4 linked regions of the Tamandua tetradactyla genome follow. The protein of the gene in region 2 interacts with the protein of the main gene of each other region in a biochemical or structural test. Links are inferred from orthologs where the notes say so. Each region holds a gene or a part of one and is shown on either strand. Other genes may lie near its edges. The genes, in order: PLCG1, FGFR1, FGF6 and ANOS1.

Region 1 (7,190 bases), on a different chromosome or scaffold from region 2:
GACCTGGGACCAACTGGAGAGGTTCCCCTTGCTTCCTGGGTTTGGAGTCATCTTGGGACTGGCTGGCCAGCCACTAGCTGGAGAGTTGGGTCCCACCAGGGTTGTCTCACACTAGCAGTATCGCCTGTGACATACTCCACTCCCTGTATTTCCATCTCCTCATCTGTAAAATGGATGGACCCTTGTGAGAGTTAGCCACGAACACACAACTAAGTCTACAGAACCCAGCAGGCAGTCTATTGTTTTTCATTCACTTATGTCAGTATTTGCAACAAAAAAGTCAAACAACAACCTGGTCCCTGTTACACCACCACCACAACCAAAGCACTTCCCCACTCCTCCTTTGAGCCAAACCCCCCGCCCTAGAAATCAACAGGTGCTAGCCCCACTTCACAGGCGGTCAAGTGAGGGTGTGGAGTTAGAACACGACAAGGTCTGACAGACGAGCGTCATGCACTTTCACTGAACCACACTCTTTCTCCTCCGGCCCACAGACACAAACGCTCCTCTCTCTGGCCAGGCCACAGGCATTGCATGGTACCCTGGCAGGGTCAGCAGGGGAAAGACAGGCCCCTGAGGCCCCTGGGCAAGAGGCCAGGTAGCAGGGGGCCGAGCTGGCAGCCCAACTCTCCTCTGCCCTCTGGTCAGCACAGCACAGCCCATCGGAGCCTGCAGAGGAGGCTGCAGGGATTGGAGCCCACCAGAGGGTGAACCCAATGCACAGGCAGAAGCAAGGCAAGGCTTCAGAGGGAGGTTACACTGACAAGAACTGAGCTCTGCTCAAGTAACCTACAAGCCTTTTTACCCAGACTCCTTCAACCTGAGCCCCCCAAAATGAAGGGTTGGGGCCCCTCCCACACCTTCTGCCTACTCCCCTCCAGGCCTCTCAAATCCACAGCTACCTGATGAGATCACTGAATCTGTACACATCTAGCCACCCCATCCTTGGTGAATAGGGTAATCAATCCACATTTCTGCCTCCAGTCCCCAAAGACTTGAGACACCATGGACTAGACTTCCCCTCCACACTTCTCAGGCCCCAACTTAGAAAAAAGATAGTCAAATACCTTCCCTGCAGAAATACCATTCTACGTGGTAGGTAGGTGGGGGGTGGAGATGGATTGGGGCAAAGCAAAACCATTTCCTCCCTATTTCAAGGTAATGATCTAAGTAAATGTGAGCTTGGTCCCCAACCTCCTTCCTTCCTAGCAAGCTCATCCTCTCCTGCAGCCACACTCTACCTCCCTCAACCTTCCCCAGTCAGGGTCTAGGAGGGCGGCCACACTATGCTTATTAATAACAGCTCCCATGCACTAAACATATACCACATGGCAGGCACCGTGCTGGATGTTTTCCATCAGTGATCTCAGTTAATCCCCACGGCAACACTATATGAATGGATATACTATACCCTCGTTCTACAGATGAGGAAACTAAGGTGCGGAGAAGTGGTTGGCTGGGGAACACACTCATATTTGGGCTTCAAACACAGCCCACCTCCAACCACCGTGCTACACTTACTGCCTGATGGGCAGCCACTGTTTAAAGTGCCACCAAATTTAGCACATTACGGGGGCACCACCAAAGCTGGCAGTGTCTGTCCTTCCTCCCCTTGGGGTCCACAGCCACCTCACCCTAACTCTTCCCCCCAGTGACTGGACAGCTAAGATGGGGGTACGGTTCAAGCGGCTCTGTCAGATCTGGAGTCTGTAGTTGTGGCTGGCTGCCTCACAAGACCTTCCTTCTTTCTTCCCAATCGCCTAGCACATCTGCAGCCCATGTACACCCTAGCCAGGAAGGTCTGGAGGAGCCTCCCTTGGGGGCGGCACTTCCTGACCCCCTTCCTCCACATGGACCTGGTTCTGAACATGGCTCTCTAACAGGAGCGGCTGGGGTCCTTGCAGGAAGCAAACCACAGCCTACAGTTGCAGTCACATCATCTCTCCACACTCGGAGGTGGGGAAATGGAGGGCAGAGCAGAGTGCCCATCCGGCCACAGCACAGGCACATACTAAACAGAGTAAAACTCCCAAAGATTTGGGGTTTTACAGAATCCTCCAACTCCCACCAGAGACCTGCACAAAGCAGCCAAGCTCAGGACTGGGAAGGGAAAGAGGCAGGAAACCAAGAGCAACAGCTTCTGGCTCCCAGCTCCCTGCAACCACCGGACCCAGGACAAAAAGGGCTAATTCCAAACTGGGTGAGCATTCTTGAAAAGAATACCTGACTCCAAGGCACTCAGGCTGGCCTTTTTTGAGGTCAAGCTCCTAGGAATGTGCTCCCAAGTTCAAGGGAGCTGGACCCACTGTGAGTCCCTGCCCTGGCTCTGGGTGTCTGCTGACCACACAGGCCTCCAAAACTCAGCTTCAGGACAAAAGGAGCAGCAGGAAAGAGCAGCCATTGCCTTCTCTGCGGCTTTTCCAAAGCAAACAGGACCACCTTCCTCCCTCCTCCCAAGAGGGGGATGAGAAAGCCTGGCTCTGTTCCAAGACCAGTCCTCCCCCAACATCTTCCTAAGTTCTCCTTAGGGAACCCAAAGGCTCCTTTACAAATGAGAGCCCCGGCCTGATGGTCCAGTTTCACTAAGACCGCTCTTTTTGAAGAAAGGCTGGCCGCGGCCAGCTGGGGGAGGGGGTGTCCTGTCAGGTGACCGAGGATCCGGATACCCCCGCCCCCCCGGTGACCACCCGAAACGAGTTGGGGACCGGAGGGGGTGGAGAAGGGCCGAAAGTTTGTCCGAGTTGTTCCAGCCGCCGGCCGGGGCGCGCCGGAGCCCGGCCCGGATTCCCCGCCGCCCCCGCGCGCGCAGCGGGCCCCCGGAGGAGCGCACTCACTGGCCCCCTCGATCTTGTCGGCGCCGCGGCTCCAAGTGATCTGCCTCGTCTCCAGCTTGACCTGAAAGGTCTTCCGCTCGGGTCGCTGCGACTTCTTGGAGTAGAACAAAGTCATGACGGTGCCCACCTCGAGGCTGCGGCAGAGGTGCAGCACCTCGGCGTCCGAGGGCGCGCCGGGACCGCAGCCATTGGCGCAGGGGGACCCCGCGCCGGCCATGGCTCCCGCTGCGAGAGCCGGAGCGAGGGGCGCGGCGGCGACGCAGGCCCGGCCGGCCGGGAGCAAGAGGCAGCGACGACGGCAGCGGCGGCCGGCGAGCGGGACTCGGCGGCGGCTCCTGCGGGCGGAGACCGAGGGGCGGGGCCTGAGCGGGAGGGGGCGGGGCGTCCCTGCAGACCCCGCCCCGGCCCGCGCGCCGGGAACAAAGGCGACCGCGCGCGCGTGGGGAGGACCCCCGCCCGCCGGCCCGTCGCGCCTGCGCCCAGCGACCCCCGGACAGGCCCCAGGCGGGGGCGCGGGGCGTGATGGCCCCGGGCGCGCGCACGCCGCTCCCACTCAATCAGTCGTCCCTCCGAGTCTCCACGCGCAGCCCGCACGCAGCCTGACGGCCACGAACGGCCCCCGTCCCGCACGGCGGCCCCGCCCCCAGGCTGCAGGGCCCGGCCGTCAGCCCCGTCGGTCAGTCGCACCGGCACAGAAGGCCGCCCAGCCCGCCGTCCCGCACAGGCCCAGCCGCAGCCTTTTCCTCAGCCCCCACGGCCCGCCCCACTCGCCAAGGGCCGCCCGCGCGGCCACGGGGAGGAGATAAGAGGGTGCAGATCGCCTCCTGGGCCCGCCCGGCCAAACCAAGTTACCTGGGCGAGATGCCCGGCGGAGGGAGCCAGGCCGGGCCGCCTCACACCCGCGGCGGCGGCGGCGGCGGCGGCGGCGGGGGCGGGCCCTCCGTGCGCCCTCTCAGGGGAGGGGTGGGGGCGGGGTCGTCTGCGGATTGGCCGGCGGCTGCTGATGGGCAGCAGTCCTGTCCCACCTCCTCCCCTCTGGCCGTGCGGGGCTGGCGGGCGGGCCTCTCTTGCCACGGCTAACCAGACCCACTCCTGTCCCGCTTTTGCGGCCGGCGTGGTCCTCGAGAGCCGCCCGGTGGAAGACGCCCTCCAGGCCTGAGCATTCTTTGCAAGGCCTCTCGTCCCGCAGTCCCAGTGTCCTTCATCCACCTCAGCGCACCTTCGGTCTTGCCCGCTTCCCGTCTGTTGCATCCTCTCCCCATGCTTTCATCTTTAAAATGAAATTAAAACATGCTCCCCTTCGTCCAGCCTGAAGCCCTCCCTCACTTCCCATTGCACTTAAAAACCACACTCCTGGCTGTGGCCCAGAAGGCCTGCCATTCCCTCCCTCTCGTCTCCTTCCCTTCACTCTCCATTCCCCAGCCACAAGGCCTTTTTGTGGTGGTTTGACTATCACACGCTTTGTCTTTCTGAAGCTGTTCCCTGGACTCGTCCCTGCACTCTAGCAGCCCCCTGTCACAGCACCGCGTCGAGCCAGGCAGGTGGTCAGGGCTGAGAGGCCCAGTACAGCATCCAGCAGCTTCCAGGTTTACTGAGGCTAGAAGAGTGGGCGCTCACTTTGGTAACCGAACTGTACAAGAACTAGTGCCGTGCCTGGAGCTGCCTCTGACCTTGTCTTGGTGTAGTGGTAACTTTTTTTGTGCATTTGTTCTTGTCTGTGATTCCCTTGAATATGGCTCTTAAAAAGCTCAGAATTCCAGCATGAAGTTGAAAAGCTTTGTCCTAATAGTTTCATGGAGCTTGGGCCCAAGAGGATATGGGGCAGCTGAGATGGACTGCCACCTAGCGACGGCCCTTTAGAATAGGAGGGAAGGAACTCACGGTCTGTGCTTGTGATCACACCTGATCCTCACAATCACTCTCTGATCTCACAGTATCGTTGTCATTTTACTGAGGAGGCCGAGATGCAGAGAAGGTCTGCGGCGTGCCCTGAGCCGCATAACAAACAAGTCGATGCCCTGGGATTTGAACTCAAGTCTGATGCTGTGTGGTTTCTGCCTCACAGGAGAATCCCTGGCTTAAGCAGGCCATGGCAGTGAGTAGTCAGGGGGCATAGAGCTAGCTGGTTCGTCAGTATGGGTGAGAAGAGGCAGAACATAGCATCCAGCAGCACATGGTTGCTCATAGGGTGCAGCTTGGGCTTGTTTGGGCTTAAAGAGGTACTGTCCCTGACTACAGAACCTGAGCACACCTCTGCCAGGTGTCAGAACCACAAGCTGGGAGGACAAAGGGGCCCAGAATTCACAGACATTAATTTAAGAAACACTGTGATGGAAGGAAAAGAACAGGGGGCTGTGAGAGAAAACATTAGAGAGACCTACCTCAGATCAAGTAGACAGGGAAGGTCTCTTTAGGATTCATTAGAAATATTCAGGGGAATTATTAGAGCTGGGTTGGAGGAAAGTGCCTTCCAGGCTGAGGAAACAGCATGTACAAAGGCCCTGAGGCCAGAAAGAGTTTGGGGAGTTTAGAAATAGAAAGAAGGCAGAGTTTAGTAAGGGAGGGAGTAGGGAATAAGGAGATAAGGAGGAAGGCAGGTGAAGGCTGAATGGGAGCCCCCCCTCTACCAGCCTAACCAGACCTTGTCCGTTTTCCCTAGAAGATCCCCTCTTAAACGCTTCAGCCCTTGTTAAACTTCCCTGTTCTGACTTGGGCTGAATTGCACTTTGTAGATCTGTTTCTCCATTCTCTGGATGCTTCCCAGTGTGCAGACCATACTCCTTTGCTTTTGCTTCTGCTGCTGGGGCTGGGCCCACAGGGGTTCCAGAAATCCCTGCCACCTGGAGCCTGTGCTTTGAGTCTGCTGCCAGGTCCCTTGATGAGGAAACAAAGACCCATTTCCTCCTGGAACTTCTAGACCAGCATCCCAGGTCTCAGGTGCCTCCCTCTGCCAAAGGCAGTTCTAGAAAAACAGGGCAACAAAGGGTGTAGCTGGCCTGGGCTTCCCCAAGCTCAGTAAAAATATGAGTACGTGGGTGCTACTGGCAATACGTGTAGCTACACAGGTTGGGAGGGAGTAGCCCCAGCACCCACACAAGCACACATCCGTGACATCACCCGGGCAAGCTGTGCTTGGGCCTATTTCTGTGAACACTCATGCTTCAACATGCCCTAGCCTACACCAGTGCCTGTGCCTGGAAATTGGGGAGAAGTCGTTCAGCTGCTCCTCCGGCCCTGCGGGATTGGCCTCACAGATTTATTTTGTTCTATTTAACAACCACTTAGAACAGTGCTTGGCACGTAGTAAACACCATGTAACAGCATTACCCACATTACAACACTGAGATAGCACTGTTAGTATCCTCATTTTACACATGAGAAAACTGAAGCACAGGGAGGTTGAGGGATATGCCCAAGGTCACACAGCTAATAAGTGGCAGAGATGGGATTCAAATCCAGGCAACCTGGCTCCAGAGTCAATGCTGTGTTGCCTCCTGTGTATGTATAAGCATTTATTGTATATCCTCACGCCTTTCCATAATAACACTACGTAATCTGTTTTCTATTTTGTTAAATGTTGTTGCAGTTGGGTTCTTTCGGAAACAGACTCTATGACAGAGGTTAGTGTGCAGAATGTTTACTTGGAAGTGCCCTTGGGATCAATACTGTGGAAGGAAGAGGAAGGAAACAGGAGTGGGCAGAGGGAGAAATCAAGCTGTGATGCGAGCCTGATGACAGGCTCAGCCAACCCTCAGGGAGTTCTGTTGTCCAGCTAGGGCTGGACTGGCTGGTCTTCATAGCCCCGCCTCAACCAGTCATTGGATGTGGACTGCCCTGGGAAGAGCACAGGGCCAGAGGGCTCCCTTAGAGGGAGCCAACAGCTGAAGGTGTTCTGCAGGTGGCTCTCACAGCAGTTGGGGCTGTAAGTCCTTCCTTACCCTCCACAAATGTATTATTTTCCAACCGCTAAAAAAAAGTTGGGTATTTAAAACAAGAGTCAAAAATATTGTCCTATAAGAATGGGTACGGGGTCATAAGAAGATGATAGAATAACCACATAGGTTAACGTAGCTGCCATGAGTGGTAGCCAAGGCAAAAGCTCTTTCTATTCTGATTCTTGGGGGTAGAAACATTTTCCTGGGCCTAAATTATAAGTTTCTCACATGGAAACTTATTTGATTGAAATAGTGGAGAATGTCCTCAACATATTAACAACAAATGATGAAGCAATATTCATTTGTCTGTTCCTAATGACCTTAGGTGAATATAGAAGGTATAATTTGAAAGAATAGCTCAGAGAAGCTCATTCTGCAATCTAAGGTAGGCAGATTTATAGACCTGCAGTATCCAATTTGA
Region 2 (7,028 bases):
GCTGGGTCTCGGGCCAATGGAAAGTTCCTGGAATAAAAAATTAACCACCATGGATACCATTAATTGAGTGGTTACAACATGCCAGACACTCTATCGAGTGCATTAATGCATTATTATCTCAGTGCATCTTTTCAACAACTCTGAAGAACAGGGACTGCCATTATTCTCACTTCACCACTGAGGAAATACAGAGGAATTAAACAATTTGCCCAAGATCACACAGCCAGTACGAAGAGGCAAAATCAGGACTGACACCCAGAAGACCTGTTTGATCCCAGAGACTGAATTCTCCCTCTTAGAGGAAGAGAACTCAGAAGCTTTCATACCCCAGCATGTACCCTCCAGCCTTACCTTCCACAAGTGTCCAAGATGAGTTTGTGGATTTTCACATGCTGTTTGCCACTCTTTAAAGTCAAGAATCACTTCCTTTTAGCCATCTTTATTCTAAGGAATTAAGCCTCTTGATTGCTCCTCCCAAAACACCTTGCACAAGCAGCTGGGCTGGCGCAGCACTGCCTGCAGTGTTAGGTCCCCCACCCCACCCCACCCCAAGCCAGAGCTACTGGGATGCCCTTGTCCCTTTCATTTTCAGAAACACCGTGTCCAGCTCAGTGCCTGAAGCACAAAAGTGCTCCCCAACCTTAGTGGATGGTCTTGCACTAGGGCCAGGCAAGTCCAGCCACTACTGCAGCTAGTTCCCTTGCTCACCCCCAGTTGTTAGGAGAGAGTGAAGTATTATTTACAAAAACACCAAGCCAAACAAGACCCTCCCTTCCCTGACAAGCTGAAGCTGTGCTAAGAACAGCCAGGGGTTACCAAATGGCCGCCAGATGGTAACTGACTGTTGCTCCCTGACTCCAGGGGCCTGGGGCAAAAGGCTTTGCCGCCCACCTGCTCCCAGGGACCTGTGAACGGCCCACTTTGCAGGGGAAAACCCGACAGTTCACTCCTGCTGCATCCCTTCCTGCAACCAGCTCTCAGAGCTGGGTTTCAGCCAGTTCCTATCACAGCTAAGGGACCCCCCACCCAAAGCCTGACTGGAGCAGACTTGAGGCCCAACCTCGCCCAGTCCATCCCCCCAAACTTCTTCCGTTTCAGTGAGGTGTTAACTCTGAAGTATGAACCGGTCTAGTGAAGTCCTCATCCCTGGTTGGGACTGCTGAGCCCTGAAATAAACAAACTCAGATGGCGCAGGGGAGCAGTGGGGCGAATGGACTGTGGGGAAAGAGAAGCTCCCTACTCGGTGGAGGAGCTCAGAGAACACAAGCGGCTCTAAGGAGAAGGAAGGGATTTTCTGCAACTGTTCCCAAACAAAGAGGACCGGCCGGGCTTTGGGGAGAGCTCCGTTTCCCTTCTTTTCATTCAGCACTGTTCCCCTCCCCCTGTAGATCCGGGAGGCTACAGGCCCCCAACTGGTTATCAGGTCCTAGAGCATGAAGGCCTTTTGTCTCCCTCTCCGACATCTTGCTGGCAGGGCAAGGGGCCTACAAATCCTCCGTGACCCTCCCAGCTCTTTGTTATCTCCAAGGGAAGATTACATTTCTGTGTGGGGAGGCAAGGAGCCAGGAGTCCTCAGTGCAGGACAGAAGCAGGCAGAGCTGCCATATGACCCTTGCTGCCTGGAATGGCTCAGGGCTGCCCTGGGGATGCTCTCCCTCCATTGGCCTGAGACTTGTCCTGAGCTGAGGGTCTACATTTCAAAAAGAGTTGGGGGAAGGGTGGGGGTGGGGAGCGGCGCGAGTGGGGAGCCGGTCTAGAATGAAGAAAGCAGTCAGCTCTCAATTATTCAGGAGCCACAGTCTGCTGATGGCCCATTCGTCCTCAGGGTTTTAGGACTTCTCCATTCTGGCTCTCGTGGGATGTTTCCTTAAGAACTGAGGAAGAGAGAGCTATTGAGTTGTCCACTTGCTTTCATTTTAGTTACCGGGTGAAGCATAGAGGAATTTGTTCACTGGCAGCGCCTGTGCCCCTCAACACCAAAGAGGCAGCTAGATCATTCTTTTTGGTTTAAAACAAGGACACGCTCTTCAGCTGCCTCCTTGGGACTCCAAAATGGTTCCAAAACAAAAGAAATGAAAAAAAAAAAAAAAAAAAAAGGCTGGATTTAAAACAGGATAAAACATGAACTGTTTTTCTGTTTTAAAAAAAGCAAAGAGAGGAAAGGTGATCCACTCTTCTTTGGGAATAAAGTGGGAAAACAGTAATTGGGTGTGAACATGAAATGCTAGATTCTTCCATGGCTTGTCTTCCCAACCATTTTTGTATTTTGTCCTCTGATGACCCAGGTTTGCTACCCTCATCACATCCATCAACAACAAACATACACGAAAAACCTCCTGAGGACAGAGAATTGAGCTAGGCCAGATATGTAGAAGGGAGCCTTGCCTTAGAACAGTTTAGGAGTCAACTAAAGGGAAAGAGCATAGGGTAAAAAAGACAACTAACAAAGGCTATATCAAGTATCAAATAGGTGGGATATACCAGAGGATTACTAGGAGTTTCAGGGATTAATAAGGAGGGGTGTGAGTCTGGTCTTCTTACATCTCTGGGATAAGCATTATTTGCAACACAGGTGGCCTAATGGGTGGGCAGCTGATAGGAAAGGATCAGTGGAACCTGTCCAGGAGCTGGAAGGTTAAAGGGGTGGACAGACAAGCTTGCAGGAGAAATAACCCTATACACCCTATAAACAGTTGATGTTCATTTATTCCACAAATATGTGAGTTCCTGCTATTTATTCATTCATTCAAAAATTTTTATTGAATATTTACTCCTCAGTCAGTCCATAAACAGTTATGGATTGTCTGTTCTTTCACTGATGGTGAAATGAAAAAGGAGCTTAGAGACCCTTTCAATAAGTTTGGAGGACCTAATCATCAGTATTTGAACTTCCAAGACCTTGTGGGGTAGGGATGAGGAAACAGACCCTACTATTAACTTAGTTACTTCTGTTTGTGTAACACTTTTGGTGTACTGATATCCATTACTTAATTCCATCCTCATTTTCAGATGTATGACTTGTCTAAGATCAAACAGTTCATCAGCAAAGGACCAGAATTGAAGTCTCCTTCCTATTCAGTGTGGCACTGCACTCTACCAGTGGCCCCAAACCTGCCCTCACATTACAGGTACAATATAAGGGAGCTTAAATATATATATACAGATTTCCTGGCTCCTTCTTGGAACAGCCTGTTTCCACAGGAGTGAGTGGGCCAAAGAATTTGTATTTTCAAAATGCTCCCCAAAGAACTCATGTACCTTTGGATTAGGAAACCACTAGATATACCACCCCATGGAAGGACCCAGGGAAAAGGACATTTAGGTCATTCTCCCTGGGTTCCACCTAATGCTGCGGTGATTCATTTTCAAACCAACACCTCCCCACAACTCCCACCACTCACTCAGCTTCCTAAACATTCACCACATGCTAGAGACTTCTGGAGGATAAGAAGAGTGCTGTAGAATTTATGGGGTTCAGTACCCTGGGAACCACAAAACTTGAATTAATGTAGCTGGATTGAATGAGATCACGGAATCTGAGGAAGGGGTTCCAGCCTCAGATACTCGAATAAAAACGTCTGTTAACTACGTTCCAGACCGTAAACCTACGTCTCCTTTAATCCAGAACTCTATGTGGAATGTACTATTATGCCCCTTTTTACAGATAGAAAAACGGAGATTTAGAGTAAGAAAAATCATTTTCCAAGTTAAACCGTCAGACTCAAAAAGCCTATGCTATCACGAACAACCTTATGGTTACATTCTCTCCCCATCTCATCCTCCAAACTGTTAGCTTGCCAGCGGCCTGATATTCCGGCGCCCTGCTCACGGTACTCAGAGGGAAGGGCACGCGCGCCCAACGAGCCCAGACTGCAGGAAACCAGCAGAAGAGAGCCGGCGGCGCGGCTCGCTCCCCCTGTCTCGGGGGCCGCGGCTCAGGAACTACAAGGCCCAGCAGGCAGCTGAAGGGGGAGGAAGAGGAGGAGGGACTAGCGGGCCGTGGGATTGCGAGAGGGAGTCCTCGCGCCTCGCCGGCGCACAGCGCTCGGAGCGCTCCTGCGGGCACTGGTGTGTCGGCCTCGGCAGGAGGAGGCGGAGAGCGGGACCCCGGAATCCTGGTCCTGCCGCACCCGCAGCACGCCGAGGAACCCCGGCAGTGCCGGGAGCTGGGCCGGCCACGTCTGGACAGGACCGAGACCCTGCTTAGCGCATTGCGTCTCGCTCGCCTTCCCCAGCCACCAGCGCTCCCCGCAGCTGGAAAAGCCAAGCCGAGCCCAAGGACTTTTCTCCAGTCCGAGTGGCGCCCAGCTGGGCGCACCGTTACCAGTGCTGCAGTCGGGCGCGCCGCTGGGCCGGGGCCCCCGCAGGACGATGGAACCGGGTGTGCCAGAAGCGTGAGCCGCCGCCGCGGGGTTCAGCAGAGTCGGGGCACAGAGTCTGGAGACCCTGGGCGGCGGACAGGAGCCCTCCCCCCCGCCGCCCCGCCTCCGGGGCACCAGCTTCGGCTCCATTGTTCCCGCCCGGGCTGGAAGCGCCGAACCCCGCGCGGAGCCGGGACCCGAGCTGAGCCCCGAGGGCAGCGGGCCGGAGCGGGAGACGCGGGCAGCCGCCAGTCTACACAAGCCACGGCGGACTCTCCAGAGGCGGCACCGCAGCGCCGGGTGAGGTAAGAGCCGCGGCGCCCGCCAGATCCCGCTCAGGCTGGAAGTCCCGAGCGGCTCCCCGCGCCGGAGCCTCCCAGCCGCGCGCTTCCTCTGCTGCAGCCCAGTCGGGGCCGGCGCCTCCCTCCCAGCCCTCCTCCACCTTCCGGCTCCCTGTCCACTCCCAGCCTACTGCACCCCTCTTTTGTCGGCCCTACGCCCCCCACCCACCCCGCATCTACCAGCGTCGCCTTCTGCGCCCCCTCCCCAACCCTAGTCCCGCCGCCCAACTTTTCTGCCAACTCGCGCTCCGGAGCGGTCAGTTCAGAGAGGGACTGAGATGGGGGCAAAGGCGGCGGCGGCCCTGGGGGCTTCTCCGCCTGGGGAGAGAGGTGGTGTGGTGGTGTGTGTGTGCGTGTGTGTGCGCGTGTTGTGTGTGTTTGTGTGTGTGTGTTGCATTTCACTCCTCCCTTTTGGGTCCCTTCGTGGTGACTCATCCCAATTCAGCAGGTAGCTCCGGACAGACAGCTAACAATCCGGGATATTTATGTCTTCTTCCCTCTCCCGGAAAGTCTGGGGTCGGGGGTGGGTGGATGGGTAGGGGTATGAAGGGGGAAGGCAGAGGGGGTCGGCCTAGCCTACCCCTGAATAGGTTTTAAGGAGGTGGCGTCACCAAATGACTGGATATCTGCTTGAGCGGAGGGCGAGGGAGGAATTCTCCGTCCCAGGGAGGGGTGTCTTCTGCACAGTCCATCCCAGACAGGGTCGGAAGTTTGGAGAAGGGCGAGGGCGCCCAAAGGGTTGATGTTAAGCCCCGGGATGGGGTTATGGGGGAGGGGAACATACCCTTCCAGTCCGGTTCTTAGAGGTGGGGGAAGGGATGAGGATTTTGTCGGGTGGGCTCACTCGGCACCTAGGCCTGTTGCTCTCTGTTCGCCGCTCCCCACATTCTTTATGTTTGGGGTGGGGAGAAAGGGGGAGAATCCTTTCATTGCCCGAGGAATTTACTGACGTGGTAGATGGGGTTCATACAACACACGCCCTATGAAAGCAGCCAGACACCTTTTTTGAGGAGAGGGGGTGAGGCCATTCTGTCCTTTTGGGGCCCAGAAGCTACAAAAAGACCCATTTTAAGAACACGTCTGTGATGTCTCTCTTCCTCAACACTTTTTCCTCCCATATTCCAGACGTACCATCGGCATCTGGTTCCATTTCACTCCACACGGGTACACCGCAGCCACGTTATTAGCATCCCACCCACCCCTATTAAAACGGGGATTCTTAAACACGTCCTTTAAATTTTCTTAAAAATTGGGGATGAGGGGCTGGGATTCAGGGAGAAAAAGTTACCTTGGATCCCAAGCTATGTAGGATTCCCACTTACTTATTTTCCTGCTGCTGCTCATGGGTGGTGGTTGGGACGCTTTCTAAACTGCAGAAAAGAGACGTCGTGGGAGAAGGGGGCCAGGCTTTAGGGGATAACACTTGCCAGCAGTCCATCTGCCTCTTGGACCGTGGGTCTGACCCAGAATTGGCCCTGACGGATGTTTCGCGAACAAAAGCAGGGCACTCTCTTCCCTTCGGTTAGAGCTTCTGTCCCGAGTGCGCAATCCTTCCTTCGGAGTTGCCCATCCCCGGCTGCCCCTTCGGTGGCGTTCACGCGTCCCTTTTCCCGGTGCGCAGCGCGTGGGGACGTGTAGGGAGGGCCGGCGGGGGGGTGGGGGGCTGCCTGTGGCCCTTCCCTGTGAGTGTTTTAAGGAGTTTGGGGGAGGCTGCAGCGCCCGGAAACCAAAGTGAGACGTTTGACCGTTGACTAACGGGCTACAGGTCTGACGCGGGGATTGGCTTGATGAGTTGTGTTTTTTTTTATTTGTTTTTTTTGTAATATCCTTTGGCACAGGAAAGCAGCGCCCTCTGGCCCAAAGTTGAGAGCGGGTGGAGAAGAGTTGGTCTCCCTCACCCTCTCTCTCCTTTCCAGGCTCTTTCAAATTGAAAACACTTCTCTAGTTTCCTTCTTTGGGCGGGTAGTTTGGAGGCTGCAATGAAATCGCACTTTCTCTAGACATGGTAATTAAGGTGACTGTTTCCTCCGCAGATGTGGCCTGCCCTTTGCACCTCCGGACCAGCGCTTTTTTTGGAATCCCACCTAAATTGTAGAACCTTAGCCTTGAGACTGTTGAACTGAAAGTGGCCATTTTCCCCCTTTGGCCCAGCATCCGGGTTTCCTCTCCAAGGCTTGTTTAAAAGCTAAGTAGCTGAGCCCCGTGGGACGTGCCTCGGTCTGGCTAATTACCCTCTGAGCTTGGGTGTCTTCCTTCTTTTCAGTGCTATTGCTGACCGCCTGCCCCCATAGCCTCCGTAATGACTTGTTTACGTATTTCCCTCCAG
Region 3 (7,375 bases), on a different chromosome or scaffold from region 2:
ATGCCACCTTTATTAACAAACTAGTTTGTGATCATTTCTGATAAGTCTCAGCTAAAGATCTTGAGACAGAGGCCATGCGGGTTACCCATCCCAATATTTAACAGCTTTCCCCAAGACCAGCACCAATCTCAATCCATCCTCCAAGGAGAGGTAGAATGGTTCTCTAGAGCCTCCCCCCCAAAATAACACTGGGATTCCTTGACTGTTGTCCTGAAATATTCCCTTTTTAACCTTCTAATTTCTGTCAAAAGAATCTCGGGTTCCTTAATCTCAAGGGGACTTTTTCCCAAACCATATTTTAGAATAATCTTCAGCATGGGCTAGGCGACCCAGGACCAAGTGGGTGTGAGAGAGCAAAGGCTTTGGTAAATGTGCTTAGAAAATGGTTGCATTAACCACAGCCCCAGCACTGGCCCTCCCAGGGGTGGCCTATGGTGGGGTGGGGGTGGGACCTGGTGCTAGCTGAGGGTGTCAAAGACATAGGGAGGCGGCTTCTCCAGCCTATTCGATCCAGGACCAGCGGTCTGAATAAAATGTGAACAAATTGTTGAAGGTGAGAATAATAGTCTCCAGGCTCACCTTCCCACTGCACTCTCACCCCTGGGGTCTCTTCCATGAGTGCGACATGGATGGACACACACTCGGGCTGAAGGACAGGCTGGCCTTCTCTGGGCTTTCCAATTCAGGAAATCAAACCTGATTGCGAGGCTGGATGACAGCCTTATGCCCACCGCAGGTTTCCTTCTGACAAGAGCTTTCTGAAGCTTTAGTTCCCCTTTCATTGCAAAGGCTCTGGCAGGTAGAATCTGGAAAAATGCAGTCCAGAGACCAATTGACTGTAAGGCTAATGAAGCACAAGCCTCAAGGCATTTCACTTTCACAGGTTCCTTCCACAGTCCCTTTTTTTTCTCATTCTAGTTAAATAGTCACATCTCTACTCAAAAATCCTATATCATTTTCTTAACTTGCTTAAGCTGCAGGCTTCATAAAACCCAGACCCACCCCTGGCCCGAAGAACTCACCGTTGTATACAGTCTTCCCTTACTGTTCATGGCAACAAAGAGCCCACTTTTCACTCCAAAGAGACTCACCACACCTCGCTCCACTGTGGAAATCTCCAGCAGACCTGACAAAGAAATGAGGGCCCCGTTACCTAAGGCTTGTGCAAATCAGAGTGGGACTTGAGGCTCGCTGTGGTCTGATAATCACAGCCCATCCCCCTGTTTCTGGAAAGTCGGACCCAACATGGCCTCCATCCTCTTCCTTCTAACTTTGGAGATCCTGACTTCTAGACTCATCATGTCCCTCCACTACTCTGTTAAAAATCTAGTTCTGCAAGGGACAGGTCTGACTTCAGAGCTGGGATTGGAATGACCACATACTGATCTCTTTGAGGTTTGCTTTGAATCTGGGTGTCCCTGACATAATCACATCAGGAGCTTGTCTTGGAAGGAAAAAAAAACACCACCACAAAAAACAAGGATGCAGATGATTTTGTTTTTAAATGCATATGCCACATGTTTCAACAAATCCCAACCCATCAAATCGCCCCAGTGCTGCAGCCACGCAGAGGCTGACGGTTGGCCTGGCCCTTGCAGCCCCATCCTCTCTCCAGGAGGGGAGCCTAATGATGCAGCAGCCCACCGGATAGTAGGATAAGGGCCTGTGGACAGGGGGGAGCAGGTTTGAAATAAAACAAGAGGGATGTGCTTCAGCTAGGAAATGTGCAAACTGCTTGCCTTTCCTTTTCAAAGAGGGAATCTGAAAAAAAAATTAGCTGGTGTCTCATTTGGTCCAAGTACTTCTAACTCATTCTCCCCAGCCCTGGCTTATGGCTCCCAGGACTGAACGATCCCAGGGGTCTTACAAGGCCACAGGGCCAGCAGTGCTGCGGCCAGGGGCATCGTGGGGTGGCGGTGAAGGACATCAGGATGCTTGGACCTCAGCACATTAAGCCTGTGGCGGGGCAGGGTCAGACAGCTGGGTGTGCTCATCAGCATCTCACGGTGGTGATGAATAACATTTCTCCCCCTTTAAAGTAAGGTCCCACCCACCCAGAGCAAGCACCCTTCCTCTCTGAGCCCTGCTTGAGCCCGAGCCCTCGAGCTTCCCAACTGCCTGGCGCTGCACTCACTGTAGGGGTTCTCCTCGTGGGTCCCGCTGATCCGGCCGTCGGGGGGCACCTGGAGGTGGAAGCCGATGCCCACGTTGCAGTACAGCCTCCGTTGGCGCTTGATCCCCACCAGGTAGCCACTTTCCCAGTTCACCCCGGCAAAGTCTCCAGCCAGCCCAGTGCGAGACCTGGACAGCAGGGTGCCCCAGCCCCTCGAGTCCAGCAGGGTGCTGTTGGCGCGGGTGCCTGCCGGCGAGGGCACCACCGTGCCCGCTAGGACGCCCAGGAAGACGAGAGCCCACAGCGTGCCCTGAAGGCGTCCTGCTCCCCGGGACATAGTGATGAGCAGCCTCTGTCCCAGGGCCATCCACCTTGCCTCTCAGGCACGTGGTCAGAATTAATGGCCCTAAAAATACTGCCCTTCTTGTTTTCCTCCCCTCGGCATGGCGGCAGGGGCTTATTTTTGGAAGGCAGATGAAGGCTGCTGACATGAAACCAAAGCCTACTTTGGGCACTCGGGTCGGGAGCAGAGGGACCCAGGCTGAGCCCTGGCTGGTAGGGACCATGGCTTGGGGACTCTCTCTAGCTCGGCTGCTCGCTCTGTCCCGAGTTGATTACATTTGATTTGACCTATCTTTATAGTTCAGCAGCCCAGCCCTCCCCTCCACCCATCATCATCCTGACGTCAACTGGCCCAGCTCACTTATCCAAGGATGTAACATTAACCTGCTCCTGGGCCTGGCTCCCTCCCCAGACCCGCATCACCCTCCCCACTCCCCAGGGACTCTGGGAACCACTGTCATTCCAACTATGAGGCAGGAATGAAGGTAGCGGGAGCATCTCTGGGGGAGGGGCAGCTGGATGGGGGCCCAGGGGAAAAGGGAAGTGAGAGGCCACCCTGCACCCAAATTGGGCAGAAGTCCGTTCTTGGCCTGGCAGTGCCGGCTTCCTTATTTAGAGGGGAAAGGGCTTGGTGGTGGGTGATGACCATGGTTTGCAAGTTACCTTTGAAATCTTTTCATGGAAAGAGCCCACAGTCAAGGGCAGGGGGTCACCGAAAGGCCAAACCCTTTCAGTAGGGGAGGACAGAGATTCTGGTGGAGAGCTTGTCCAAGGAGTTTTTGGATTATGAGAGATGGTAGAGCTAGGGTGTAGCGCCTCTGCTCACCACCCCGCCCATGGCATTGACATGCCGAAGGCGTGGAAGTGGTGTCTGTCACTCGACATAGCCTATTGGCCATTTTCTGAGCTGCTGCCGTCCCTGGCATCTGACTGATAATATTCCACTGTGCAGATGAGGAAGCCAAGGCTTAGAGAGACGAAGTGATTTACCGGAGCCACCGCTGCTAATACATGATAAAGCCAGAACATATAAGGCCTGCCTGTGCTTTGAAATTCTGTGTGATATTGCCTATAGTAGAAGTTAGATTTCCAGGCTGATCCACAAAGTCTGCTTAACTCATTATGTGCCAAGAGCACATTACAGAATTTTTTTTTCTTTTTGGCATGGGCAGGCTCCAGGAATCCACAGAATTATTTCAATAGCAGAGAAGAATTAATTTGTTCAAAAAACTTGAGATCTTTGATGCACAGATGTATTTCTGCAATTGCATGTTAACATTTGCTAGGTTATCAGTGTTAGAACTTAGAAAAAATATTTCTGCTGAGTAGTTATTCCCACACCCAATTTTATTTTCCCGTATTATTTTTAAATCGAGTACATGTCCAACTGAGGTATAAATACTTAAAAAAAAAAAAGACCTACCAAGAAAAATCATCAAGAAGTTGCTATGTGAATATAAGATATAAGCAGCTGTCTCTGAAAGTGAGATAAGTTAAGGGTCACATGGTGAATTAATGTGCGTCTAAAATCTAGGTGTCTTGTCTTTCAATCCAGGTCTTAATGTGTTGGCGGACTTTGAGCACCGATTGCACGTGGATTGGAAGGCTGTGTGTGTTGGTGTGTGCGTGTGTTCTGGGGATGGCCTTGAACATCCTTTACACGTAGGAGGGCTGCTAGCTGGTAGGCTCCCTCAGCTACATTCTGCACCTCCCCTGGAGGCTGCAGGCAGCCTGGGAAAAGCTCCCAGGATGTGCTCCACTGCTCAGGCACTCTTCTGAGGCCGCACTAGCTCCCTTCTGATTCCAGCCCTCCTGCTCTGGTCTGGGGTCCCAGGCTCCAGTCTGTGGCTTCTACTTGCCTTCTGCTCCTCTGCTTAGCTCATTTGGATTGATGCTTTGGGGAGAATTTCTGTGAAGTTGAGCATTTCAGTTTTGCCCTGGATGTGTTCTCTCAGACCCCTTGAAATGCAGGCACCCTGCTGTCATTACCCTCAGCTGGCAAAATGATTAGGGAGGGAGGTAAGTACCTCCAATTGCTATCACCTGACTATCTTTCCCTTTCTTGTCACTTCCATTGTCTTATGCCCAAACTCAACATCACTAGTGCTGCCAATTCCACAATGAGAGACTGGCACCTTCTGGCCACAGGTAGAGTCTAATAAGCCTTGTGTTGAAAAGTTATTTTGTTTTGTCTGTTTTTAAAAAGAGGTTATAGGGTGGGCCACGGTGGCTCAGCAGGCAGAGTTCTCACCTGCCATGCCGGAGACCCGGGTTTGTCTCCTGGTGCCTGCCATGTAAAAACATTAAATTAAATTAAAAAAAAAGAAGGTATAGAAGCTTCCTCTGCAGAGTAGGAGATGTCATAAATAATCCCAAACTGGATTTTTTGCTTGATTTCATATAGTTAAGCTTTCATGTATGCGAGAGCAGTGGAGAAACTCTCTTAATGATGTTTAGTTTGGAATCATGTGTTAATCAGCTTTTGCTGGTACCAACTTAGAAACCAACTTCTTGCCCAGAAGCGAGTTGGATAGGAGGGGGAAGGTAGTTGGAATTAAAACTTGCCATGGATGATTGAGAAAGTGCTCATCAACCGAGGTCAGACTCTCCTGGTGGAAATCTTCCTGGAACTCATCCACTTTGGGACTGCCTTGGGGGAGAGATAAACAATAACAAGGTCCATGCCATAGGTCAATAAAAATGGTAACTCACTTTAGACTTACCTCATCCCAGAGTCCTCTCTTTACATACGTTTGTGTTTGGTGTCTCATAAATCAATGGACTTTGGAATGGGAAAGAGTTGGATTTGAGTTCCATCTCCACCATTTATCAGCTGTGTGATATAGGGAAAATTTTTAACTTCTCTGAGCCTCAATTTTTTTTTTTTTATCTGCAAATCCGAGCTTTTTGTTTCATAGGATTGTTCCAGAGATTAGCAATGGTATATGCAAAGGGCATAGGGTAGGAGGGACACGATATAACTCTAACCCTTTCCTTTCTCTGAAAAACACTGAAAATCTCTCACCCCATTAAAGGAGGACAAACCCAGAGTGGGAAGGACCAGCTTTCATCTGAAGGGGTGGAAGAGACACGTGGGCTCCGGTTCCTAACTGCCATTCACCAGAACATATGTTGTGATGGCTGTTAACATATGCAGATGCAGGCAGCGCAGGTGCCTGAAATATTCCAAAAACCAGTAATAGCCTTGGTGTCGTCCCCTGTTAAATATAAAACTTAAGTAATTCATTCTATTAAAAAGCCTGGGTCTTATTTTTATCTGGTGATGTGATGAGGCCCTGTTCTAAATGCGCCTTCTGGGCCTGTCCCTATAGCAACCCCATAGTGCTCATAGCTCCATATATTTTTCCCGAAGGCTAATTAGGTTGACAACTGCTGGGGCTTCTTGGTTTACCAGATTTGCACTTGACCCTTCTCTTGGGGCTTAGGGACCCCTATGGATGTGAAGTGATGAAGAAAAGAGGAACAGGTGGAGGGCCTCTCTGAGAACCCCTCTTTCAAATAGTTGCGTAGCAGCCTTTGGGGGTTGTCAATCACTCTTTCTGGATGAGCCAAGATTTAATGTAGGTGAGTGGGGAAAAAATGTTAATGTCTGTCTCCTTCCACGACAGTATCCGGTCTCTAAGTGAGGCACCACGAGATACAGATTGTTCATATTTGGCAGTGCTTAGCTACACTTGGCTTTCCTATCATCTGCAGGGTGGAACTGCCTCATCACAGCGGGGCAGGCTGCCTTCCATGGCTCCTGTTTCCCACATAATAAAATTCAAACCCTAAGGGAATGACCAGGGGTGACCCTAAGGGAATGCACATAAAGCGCAGAAGAGCCATAGAAGTGTGGATTATGAAAAACTGTTTATTTGCGCTTTTTACATTTGGCTTTGAAAAATTAACATTTGTCTTTTTTTCTAGAGATAATTTGGAAAATACAGAAAATTATAATGTAGAAAATAAAGTAGTGGCTTGTGTTTAATGTTTTTAGGTCTTTTGTTGCAAAGTCTGTTTTTGAGCTTCCTGGGGACAGGGACTGTGCCGGTTTGAATCTGTGGTGGATCCCAGAAAAGCCACGTCCTTTAATCCTCATTCAGTATTGCTTGGTGGGAGCATTTTGATTGTTCCCATGGAGATGTGACCCACCCAATTGTGGGTAGTAACTTTTGATTGGATGATTTCCATAGAGGTGTGTCTCCACCCATTGAAGGTGGAGGATTCCTTGCTGGATTCCTTTAGAAGAGGAAACCTTTTGGAGAGAGTCCTATTTTGTAGAGCCACGAGAAAGCCAGCAGATGCCACCATGTTCGCCATGTGCCCTTCCAGCTGAGAGAGAAACATGAACTCCATCGGCCTTCTTGAACCAAGGTATCTTTCCCTGGATGCCTTTGATTGGACATTTCTATAGACTTGTTTTAATTGGGACATTTTCTTGGCCTTAGAACTGTAAACTAGCAACTTATTAAATTCCCTTTTTAAAAAGCCATTCTGTTTCTGGTATATTATGTTCCAGCAGGCAGCAGACTAGAACAGGGGCCTTGATGCCTCTCTTTGTCTCTCCCTCTCTCTTGCTCACACAAGCACCTCGGCACTCATCCCTGGTGTTCAATGGTGGAGATACTCATGGGTATGAGACGAGCATGTGTAGAGGTGAAGGAATGGGAGGGATCCCTGCCCTAGAGGTGAGCAAAGAGGAACATCCAGGACTCATGAGACTTGCTAGAAGTGGGAGGATTCATGAGAAAATATTTCAAAGGACTTCAGATTGGACTTTTGCAGGGAAAGAGTTAGCTGTTATCTTGCTAGCAGATCCATGGAGGAAACCATTCTTTGTACTTTCCTCAGGGAATTGAACTCTCCTTAGGTCTCATTAATACAAGCCCATTAACTTCACCCCACTACAAATTGCCC
Region 4 (7,892 bases), on a different chromosome or scaffold from region 2:
GCCCAAGCCTGGCACTGAAGACTATCCCACCACCATACCACCCACCGACAGAGATGAGCCTCCCAATCGCCTCCTAAGGAAGGCCTGACTTAACTATCTGCAGGTACTATATTTGTGAACTTAAAATGGCAACATGCCAAATTCTTTGTTCAAGGCACCACTGTGCTGGACACTGATCACTCGGGAGATACAAACTTACAAACCTTGTTTTCACAATCAAAGTACAGCGTTCACTAGTAAAATGAGTGAGTATAGAACTCCTCGTACTTTTAGTATTAAATTCTATGCTGTTCCAGGTTGGGGGCATATCAGATAATTCAGTTTCCCTGTTCCCTTTTCCACTCCCCTCCCTTAGTACTCAGGATCCCTTTGGCTTTCAGGCACAGCTGACACTACTATGAGCAACTGAAGCAATTCCAATCTTGCAGAGGTGAAGGACACCAGGTGTGTATATTCACAGCTCTTCAGCTCAGCGGCTGGAGGGCTGGGAGGTATTGGAAAGCGCACTGAATTGGGGCAGAAAATAATCAATTTGAGCCTCCTCTGTAGCCATACCGCACCAGGTCAGACTGTTCCTCAGGTTCAGAGTTTCTGCCTGAGCTATTAGTCCACAGTTCAGGTTCTTTCCAGCCAAGGCTTGGCAGCATTCACACTTGACAGTCTACACATCCGTGTGGCATCAAGGATGAAGGCAACCTTTCCCCACCCTTACAAGGAGGCCTAGACTCCTGCAAGAGAAGTCAGAAATAGGCACTTGCTCCAAAAACAGACTTCTTCTTGGGGATATTTGTACAAGTTGGAGATGTCAGGAAGAACAGACAGAAGGAGCTCTTTCAGGTCTTTTTCCAGCCCATTCTCTGGGCACGTTACATGCACAGAGGAGTGGGTTGGCTAAGCCTGATTCCTCCTTTTAATTATTAAAGGGGGAGGGACAGGGAAGCTTGAAGCTGTATCTGATTTTATCAGGAAAGTGTGTCTTTTCACATCTTGACAATGCTTAATCCCTGTAATTGAGATAAATCAAACAGGCATTACCAGGTTAGGGTTAAAACTCCCAGAACGGCTTTGCCACTGATTACAAAACAGCAGTTATTAAGTCCTAACTGCGTAATTTGCAGCTTATTTCACCCCAGCTAATTAAAATGTAATCAGGATTGTTTGGCAACGTGTATTCTGTCAGCAGTTTCTCTTCAGAAGAGAAGTCATGCCAAGGGACTAGAAGAAAAGCCTTTTCACCAGAATTGGCTTGATCTAAACTATTTCTTTAGCCATGCAAACTGTAAAACAAATAAATTACAGCAACTGACAAATTCCATTAAAAAAAAAAAAAGATACTCTCCCTCCCCGGGAATGCGCTGTTATGTTTTGTTTTCTGTTATTTAAACAATACTGCTGCATCTTCTCAGGACTTTCATGGCAGAGGTGGGTGAGTCTGAAACCAAGTAACATCTCCAGGACATCCGAGCTATTTCACCCCACCAGAGCCCCAGGTTCTTTCTCCTAAGACCATTTCTCTGAAACCTACTAAGAAGAAACGAAACTACGCTCCCGCACCCACAAACTTCACGGGCTGGTTCGATCTCTTTAAAGAACCCAATTTTCAGCGGTCGCCTCCACTCTGCACAAGGTTTCCTTAGCTACGGGGAACCGTCCCAACTCCACCAACATTAAAATCGCTCCTCTTGCAGCTTAATTCCCGGGGCCCATCGGGAGGCCCCCTCTTTCCCACCCAGGCGAGAGGGGCGCCCGCTTATTCCTTAAGGGCAGAAGGCTCGGCTTGCAGCAATGGTCCCGCCGAGTAACAGGCTCTGGTCTCCTCCTGGCCTCCGCAAGCGGAGAAGTGAGGATCTTGAAACCAGTGAGCAGCTCAGGCTAGACAGCAGCGCGCAAGGGAGAGCAGCAGTGCCGGCGAGAGAAGGCAGGCGGCCGGGAAGGATTTCAGAGCTCGCGCGCTCGGATCGGCTGCGCCAGGGAGCTGTGCGCTCTGCGCGAGCGGAGGCGGGGCGCAGCTCGCGTGCGCCCACGGACACCGGGGTTCCTCTGGAGCCCCCAAAATCCGGCAACCCGCAGGCGCAAAGGGTGCTGTTCCCGGAGAGTCTTACAGAGCCGCATTCGCTCAAGCACACACACCCTCAGGCAGAAGATTCTGCCCCGGCGAAGCAGGTAAGGAACCTGGGTCTCCACCTCCGAGCACCCCAAACACGACCCCTCCACGCTCCCTATTTCCTGCACCTCTCCCAATGCCTTCACGCCACTCGTTAGTAAGAACTTGAAGCTCTGGGGCTCAAAAGTGGGGTGCGCACAGCCAAACCCCGCTCCAACACACACACGCTAGGACGCACGCCATGGATGGCCCCACTGCCCTGCTAGAGGGTCGAAAAGTGGCCAGCGAGCTCCGGGCCATGGCCTAGGAGGGACAAGTGTCAGCTCGGGGGCACCTGCAAGGCTGGGCACGTCGCACGGTGCCCCTGGCGCGCCTCGGGGACTAACCTGGCAGCGCCCGGCACTTTGCGGGACTCGCCAGCAGCGCAGGATCTCCCGCAACTAATAAATCTGCACCCATCGGTGAGCGCCACGAAATTGCCGTCCCACCCCCCAAGGAGGCCGCCCTCCTTTTCCCGCCGAGAGGAAGAGTCGCGAGGAAAGATGCTGCGGGCTGCTTTAGCGTTTCGGGAGCAGTGGGGAAGCTGAGAGGGAGGGTCCCGGGGCCCGGGGTGGAAAAGCAGTGCCGAGGGAAAGCCGAGACCCGTCGAAGTCGCGGCGGTGGGGCGGGGTAGGGGACGCGGGCCCGCAGCCTCGGGGGCGCCCAGCGGGCGGGCGGAACCGGCGCAGTACCTGGAAGTGCTGGAAGAAGGCGGAGATGCGCGTGATCTGCAGGCTGAGGCACCTGGAGGCGCAGCGGGCGCGCTGGACGCTCCCGGCCGCCAGCGACTCGTCCAGCCGCCGCCCCGCTCCAGGCCCGGCCGCCAGGCAGCCCCCAGAGGCCGCCAGCCAGAGGCATAGGGTCAGGGCGGCGCCGGGCGCGCCGGGATCCATGGCTGCGGGTCGGGGGCGCGGGCCGAGGCTCCCCGCTCCGCGCCGGGGCCGCACTGCCGGGCACCTCGCGGCCGCCGCGCCGCCGCCGGGAAGTTCAAGCCGCCAGGGCTGGGGGGAGGGGGCGGGCGGCCGCGCCATTGGCTGGGCGGGCCCTGAGTGACAGGGAGCCCGCGCGCAGGTCTCCGGGCGGGAGCCCCGGACCACGCCCGCCTCCTCCCCGCGTCGCGCCGTCGGGGTGGCCGCCCGCCCGCCCCCGACGTCCAGGTGTGCGGCGCTGCCCGCTGACAGGTGTGCGCAGGCCCGCAGCTGGGCAGAGACCGGCGCGCCAGGGGCCCTCCGGGCGTCGGGGCTGTGGCGTGAACGCTAGAGCGCCCGAAGCTGTGTGCCGCCTTCCGGGTGGCCGCCCCACGTCCAGGCTGCTCTCGGGCTCTCCCCAAGTGGGGACCCAGCCTGGAGCTCTACTAACAAGGACGTGGTTAGAGCGGAGAGCCGGACCAGGCCATGTGACTGACAGCGCCCCCTTCCCTTCTCACTCCCTTTTGCCGATCCTTTCCTGCTCCATCGCTCCCCCCTCCTAGTATCACCTGGGAAAGTGAGTACACAACCCCGCCGTTTGTTAAACAGGCCCGCGCACCTTGTTTGGCAGGTGTCTGTTCCTAGCCGGCGCCACCCCGCCGCCGTGCGCGGACAACTCTAAACGCAAGGCTGGTCTCCCACTTGGGTGTGCCCAAGCCACCTAATTCGGCCTTTTAGCTTTGAAATTGCTGCTCCGGTGTCTCGTTATATTCCAAGGTCCTTCATCACCTCTGTCCTCCCTCCTCAGCCAGAGCCCTGCCAGAGAAGGAGACCCCAGGCATTTGTAACAGAACATCCCATTTCCCCAAGGCTCGGGCCGTGGGGGAGGGGGGGGGTTGAGGAGCGTGCCCCCAGCCAGCTTGAAGGGAGAAGACCCACCAGAGCGCTGGGACCTGGGCATGGAGAATGACTGCACTATGGGGGTGGAGAGACTGATAACACCTAACCCCACCACTGATATTGGGACATGCTCATATATATTCAAATGCAGAAAAAATGACCCACAGCCACATTCTCACACCGAACACTACAGGTTTTAAAAGAGTGTGGCTGTAAGTGTGTCAGCGTGCCCTGAACCTGCTGAAGGATACAGTACAAAGCCCTACTGATTCCTCTTTGCATATGTCCTAAGGAGCTGGAAGATGACAATACAACCTCTTTCCTCTACTGCACACTTAGGTTCTGTGATTTTGAGACCTTTCTGTTAACAAATGAGGATAACTGGGGTTTTTGCTATGATGGCTTTTTCTATTACATCATCTTATATGTATACTTCTTCACGCAATTTATGTCAGGGAGGCCAGAGTATTAGAAGCTCCCAGAATTGTTTTTGTTAAAAAGGGCCTGTAAGGCCCGCCTAGCTTCAAGGCAGTGCAACCTGTTCGAACCCCCAGGGTCGCAGTCTTAGAAAACCCCTACACTTGGTTTAATGCTCTGCTGCTACCACGTTGAAAATTGTATGCATTTTTTGAGCAGGGAGCCCCCATTTTCATTTTGTGCTGGGCCCCCAAAATTACATAGCTGGTCCTGTCTGCCAGTTTTAGCCATGACAATACTATACTTGAGCTGGAAATCTAAAAGTGTAGGCATGAGCTCATGAGAGTTCAATAGTTTGTTTAAAAGATGCTCAGAAATGGAAACCTTTTTAAAATACATTAAATTTGCTGTTGATTAAGAGCAAAGAGACTAAAGAGGTTAGAGGAGTGACTTCTGACTTCAGGGATTTTTTTTGGTGGGAGGGGGGTTAGTTTTATCACTTTCACTTGGGAATCAATAAAAACCTTTTTAAAATACATTAAATTTGCTGTTGATTAAGAGCAAAGAGACTAAAGAGGTTAGAGGAGTGACTTCTGACTTCAGGGATTTTTTTTGGTGGGAGGGGGGTTAGTTTTATCACTTTCACTTGGGAATCAATAAAAACATTTCCAAAAACTGCAGTGGATCCTTCCACAGTGTTTTTTTAAGTTTCAAAGTAAAGTAAACACCTGGTCTTGGTGAAGGCAAGGATTTTATGCAAACCTGTATTTTTTAAAGGTGTCTTTGATTTACAATTTTGCATGTCATATCATGAAATTTATATTCTAGAAAGTGAAATCATAAGGACAAGTATGCTAAGCTTTTAAAAACAGTCTTTAAGCATTCAAAGGATTTGCTGTATTTTTTTAAAAAGCAACTTCTGTGTTACTTCTATGTTCTATGGAATATTCATTTTCATGAATAAATGCATTTCATAATAAACCACAAAAGAGAACAACTAGTCAGTTGAAGAGAAATCTTAGGATTTCTAAGGGCCAGTTTATTATGCGTATGTTAAAATAATACACCTTCTTCCTTTAGAATTAGCCCAGAAATCCTCCGTGATTATAAAGGTCTCCTCATGCTATTTATTTTAATTCCAATTTAAATAACTTCCAAAAAGAAAAAAAAACATTTTAGTAAAGTCAGAGTAACAGTGGAAATCTATAACTCTGCTCATATAACCAATTTACTATGCAGCTGACCCTGGGAGCTAGTAAATGGTACCTCTCTAACTTTTCACATAAGTCATAAGCCCACCCTAACTTCATGAAAACCAGCCACCCAGGAAGAGAACAGTCAGTGTATGCTGAAGTAATGATGGATAAATGAATGGGTGGGAATCGTACAGGTGTGCTTAGAAAGAAAATACTTAACATGTCTTTCTCCACTTGAATACCATTGCCTGAATTTGTCTAGAGAGGAAACAACCTTCAACTGACTTCGGTTTGTCTCGAAGGAGACAAAACACACATCTGTCAAGAAGAGTAGAAAAGGGATTTAATTTACTCTCAGTTATATCCATGGGAACAAAGGCAAATGTAGCTCGGTCAGGTTGTAAAAACGCAGATAAAATGAGGGACCTTGTTCATTTCGGAAAACGCGAGTTATGCTCTTCCTTGAGTTTTCTTAAGCTGATAAGCCCCTCCAGTGCCCCCCACCAAAAAAAAAAAGAAAGAAAGAAAATGGAGCATGAAAACTACCTGGGAAGCTTGCTAAAGATAGACTCCAGGGCCTCAACTTGAGAGATTCTGGTTTAGTGGGGGTGGGGTTTTGTAATATAAACTTTTAACCAACTCCCCATGTGATTCTATAGCCATGAACCCTGGACTGTGGTTTGATACTGATTTAGAAAACCTGTATTCCTTTAAGAACAAGGGTGGCAACTTCAATTTAGACAGCACCTCTGACAACTTTTTGAAGTACCTATTTATGCATATGTGTTGATGTGGATTGGACACAACGATCCATTTCTTACTAAATCACATGATATTTTGTTCCAATACATTTAACCAAGACAATCTTAGATTAATTTTTTCCAGGCTAGAAATTTGTCTTTTTAAAGACTTTTTAAGTTCTCCAGCTCCATTTGGTTGATAAGGATGAAATATGAAAGAATCAAGCATAATCCTTCTCTGACACGCCCCTCTTAGAAAAGCAAATTGAGATCTACAATTGGGGAAGAATAAATACTTTTGTTTGAAGCCCTGAATGAGTTTTGAACAGAATGCCATTCCTGTCTTCAGGGACTTTGAAGTAAGAGGAGGAAACTCAAATGAGCTGCCAATTTCCTTCCTAATTGCCTCCATTTGATAACACAAAAACTTGCACCTTCTCTCTGAAACTGAAATTAACTTCAGGAAACGCAAAAGTGGGAAAACTAAGAAGCTGTTCTGCCAGGGCTAGGCCTACCCTTACCCTCCCAGGTGACGTTCTCAGAATTTGCTAGACTGAGTCTCTGAAATCTACTCCTTTACTATGCTTTGCTATTCCTCCAAAAATTCTTTCATTCTGCTTAGCTTGAGATGGCATGATCCAGGGAATGCTAAGAAAGTTACTGAGAGAGAAAAAAAAATGAAATGGGAGCACAATTTAATTGGTTATATGTCAGATTTGTATGTTTTGCAATATGATTTCATTCTAGAATGGGTGTATCTTTATGGTACTGATGGTCAACTTAATCATTTTACAAATGAAAATGTGTAATTGGGGTCAGTGAATATTCACTTTAGTTTTCACAAAAAAACAGCACATCCACTTGGCAATCACCTGCTTTCTTTTATCATCTGCAACGCCAGACTGCCCAGTTGGTTTTGGCTTTATCCCAGAGCACAATTTTCTTCTCAATACAATTACAAAAAGTCAGTAGCAATTTTTGTAGGCCTAAAGGTACTATATCAATCACTTAATGTTTCCTAAAATTTTACTAAGACGTATCAGACAAAAATGTGTCTTCGATTACTTTTTGAGTTAAAGAATATTTTAATGATTTTTACTTCATTTGCATTGTTTCATTAAAATACTGTCAAATAACATGAGTCCAGACTACTCCATGCACACATTGCAAAACTTTGTCTCCTTGCCCCTTTCCCTCCCTTCTACCAAAGTCACCAACTAGTAGTGATAAATCTGCTTGTACCTATTCCTTAATTGGAATAATTATGAAAATATACAGGCTTTTTTGTTTGTTTTTACCGGTCTGCCTTTTTCATTTTTCAAGGATTGAATATATGAGGAACGCGATATTTGACTGTGAATGTTTTTTTCCCTCCCAGCACCCCCACCCTGGGAATTTTAACTTCAGTACATGTGCTGATCACTGTTGATTTTAGTGTCTTCCCCCTGCTCGTCCCCCTACACACACACACACACACACACACACAAACAGCAGGACACTGAATTTTTTGAAACACAAATCCCTGGATGTTTGATACCAGTAAAGTAGAGCACTTGCCCTCAAACCTTGGCAATTAACTAATTTGACC

What was found.
Region 1: the proteins of FGFR1 (region 2) and PLCG1 form a complex in vitro, tested with the Homo sapiens proteins (4 studies listed by BioGRID and IntAct, with this or other methods). The link is inferred for Tamandua tetradactyla from reciprocal best matches to the Homo sapiens genes FGFR1 and PLCG1.
Region 3: the proteins of FGFR1 (region 2) and FGF6 interact in a biophysical measurement, tested with the Homo sapiens proteins (2 studies listed by BioGRID and IntAct, with this or other methods). The link is inferred for Tamandua tetradactyla from reciprocal best matches to the Homo sapiens genes FGFR1 and FGF6.
Region 4: the proteins of FGFR1 (region 2) and ANOS1 form a complex in vitro, tested with the Homo sapiens proteins (3 studies listed by BioGRID and IntAct, with this or other methods). The link is inferred for Tamandua tetradactyla from reciprocal best matches to the Homo sapiens genes FGFR1 and ANOS1.

The regions. Positions count from the first base shown.
Region 1 is NC_135327.1:11,016,322-11,023,511, forward strand, and holds the start of PLCG1 (1-phosphatidylinositol 4,5-bisphosphate phosphodiesterase gamma-1), read right to left. Parts: upstream 3,052-7,190; coding exon 2,835-3,051; intron 1-2,834. UniProt on the Homo sapiens protein: Mediates the production of the second messenger molecules diacylglycerol (DAG) and inositol 1,4,5-trisphosphate (IP3). Plays an important role in the regulation of intracellular signaling cascades.
Region 2 is NC_135352.1:4,641,991-4,649,018, forward strand, and holds the start of FGFR1 (fibroblast growth factor receptor 1), read left to right. Parts: upstream 1-4,023; 5' UTR 4,024-4,666; intron 4,667-6,297; exon of another isoform or gene 6,298-6,315; intron 6,316-7,028. UniProt on the Homo sapiens protein: Tyrosine-protein kinase that acts as a cell-surface receptor for fibroblast growth factors and plays an essential role in the regulation of embryonic development, cell proliferation, differentiation and migration.
Region 3 is NC_135333.1:66,659,167-66,666,541, forward strand, and holds FGF6 (fibroblast growth factor 6), read right to left. Parts: upstream 2,571-7,375; 5' UTR 2,481-2,570; coding exon 2,135-2,480; intron 1,127-2,134; coding exon 1,023-1,126; intron 807-1,022; coding exon 576-806; 3' UTR 544-575; downstream 1-543. UniProt on the Homo sapiens protein: Plays an important role in the regulation of cell proliferation, cell differentiation, angiogenesis and myogenesis, and is required for normal muscle regeneration.
Region 4 is NC_135353.1:167,186,100-167,193,991, reverse strand, and holds the start of ANOS1 (anosmin-1), read right to left. Parts: upstream 3,037-7,892; coding exon 2,836-3,036; intron 1-2,835. UniProt on the Homo sapiens protein: Has a dual branch-promoting and guidance activity, which may play an important role in the patterning of mitral and tufted cell collaterals to the olfactory cortex. Chemoattractant for fetal olfactory epithelial cells.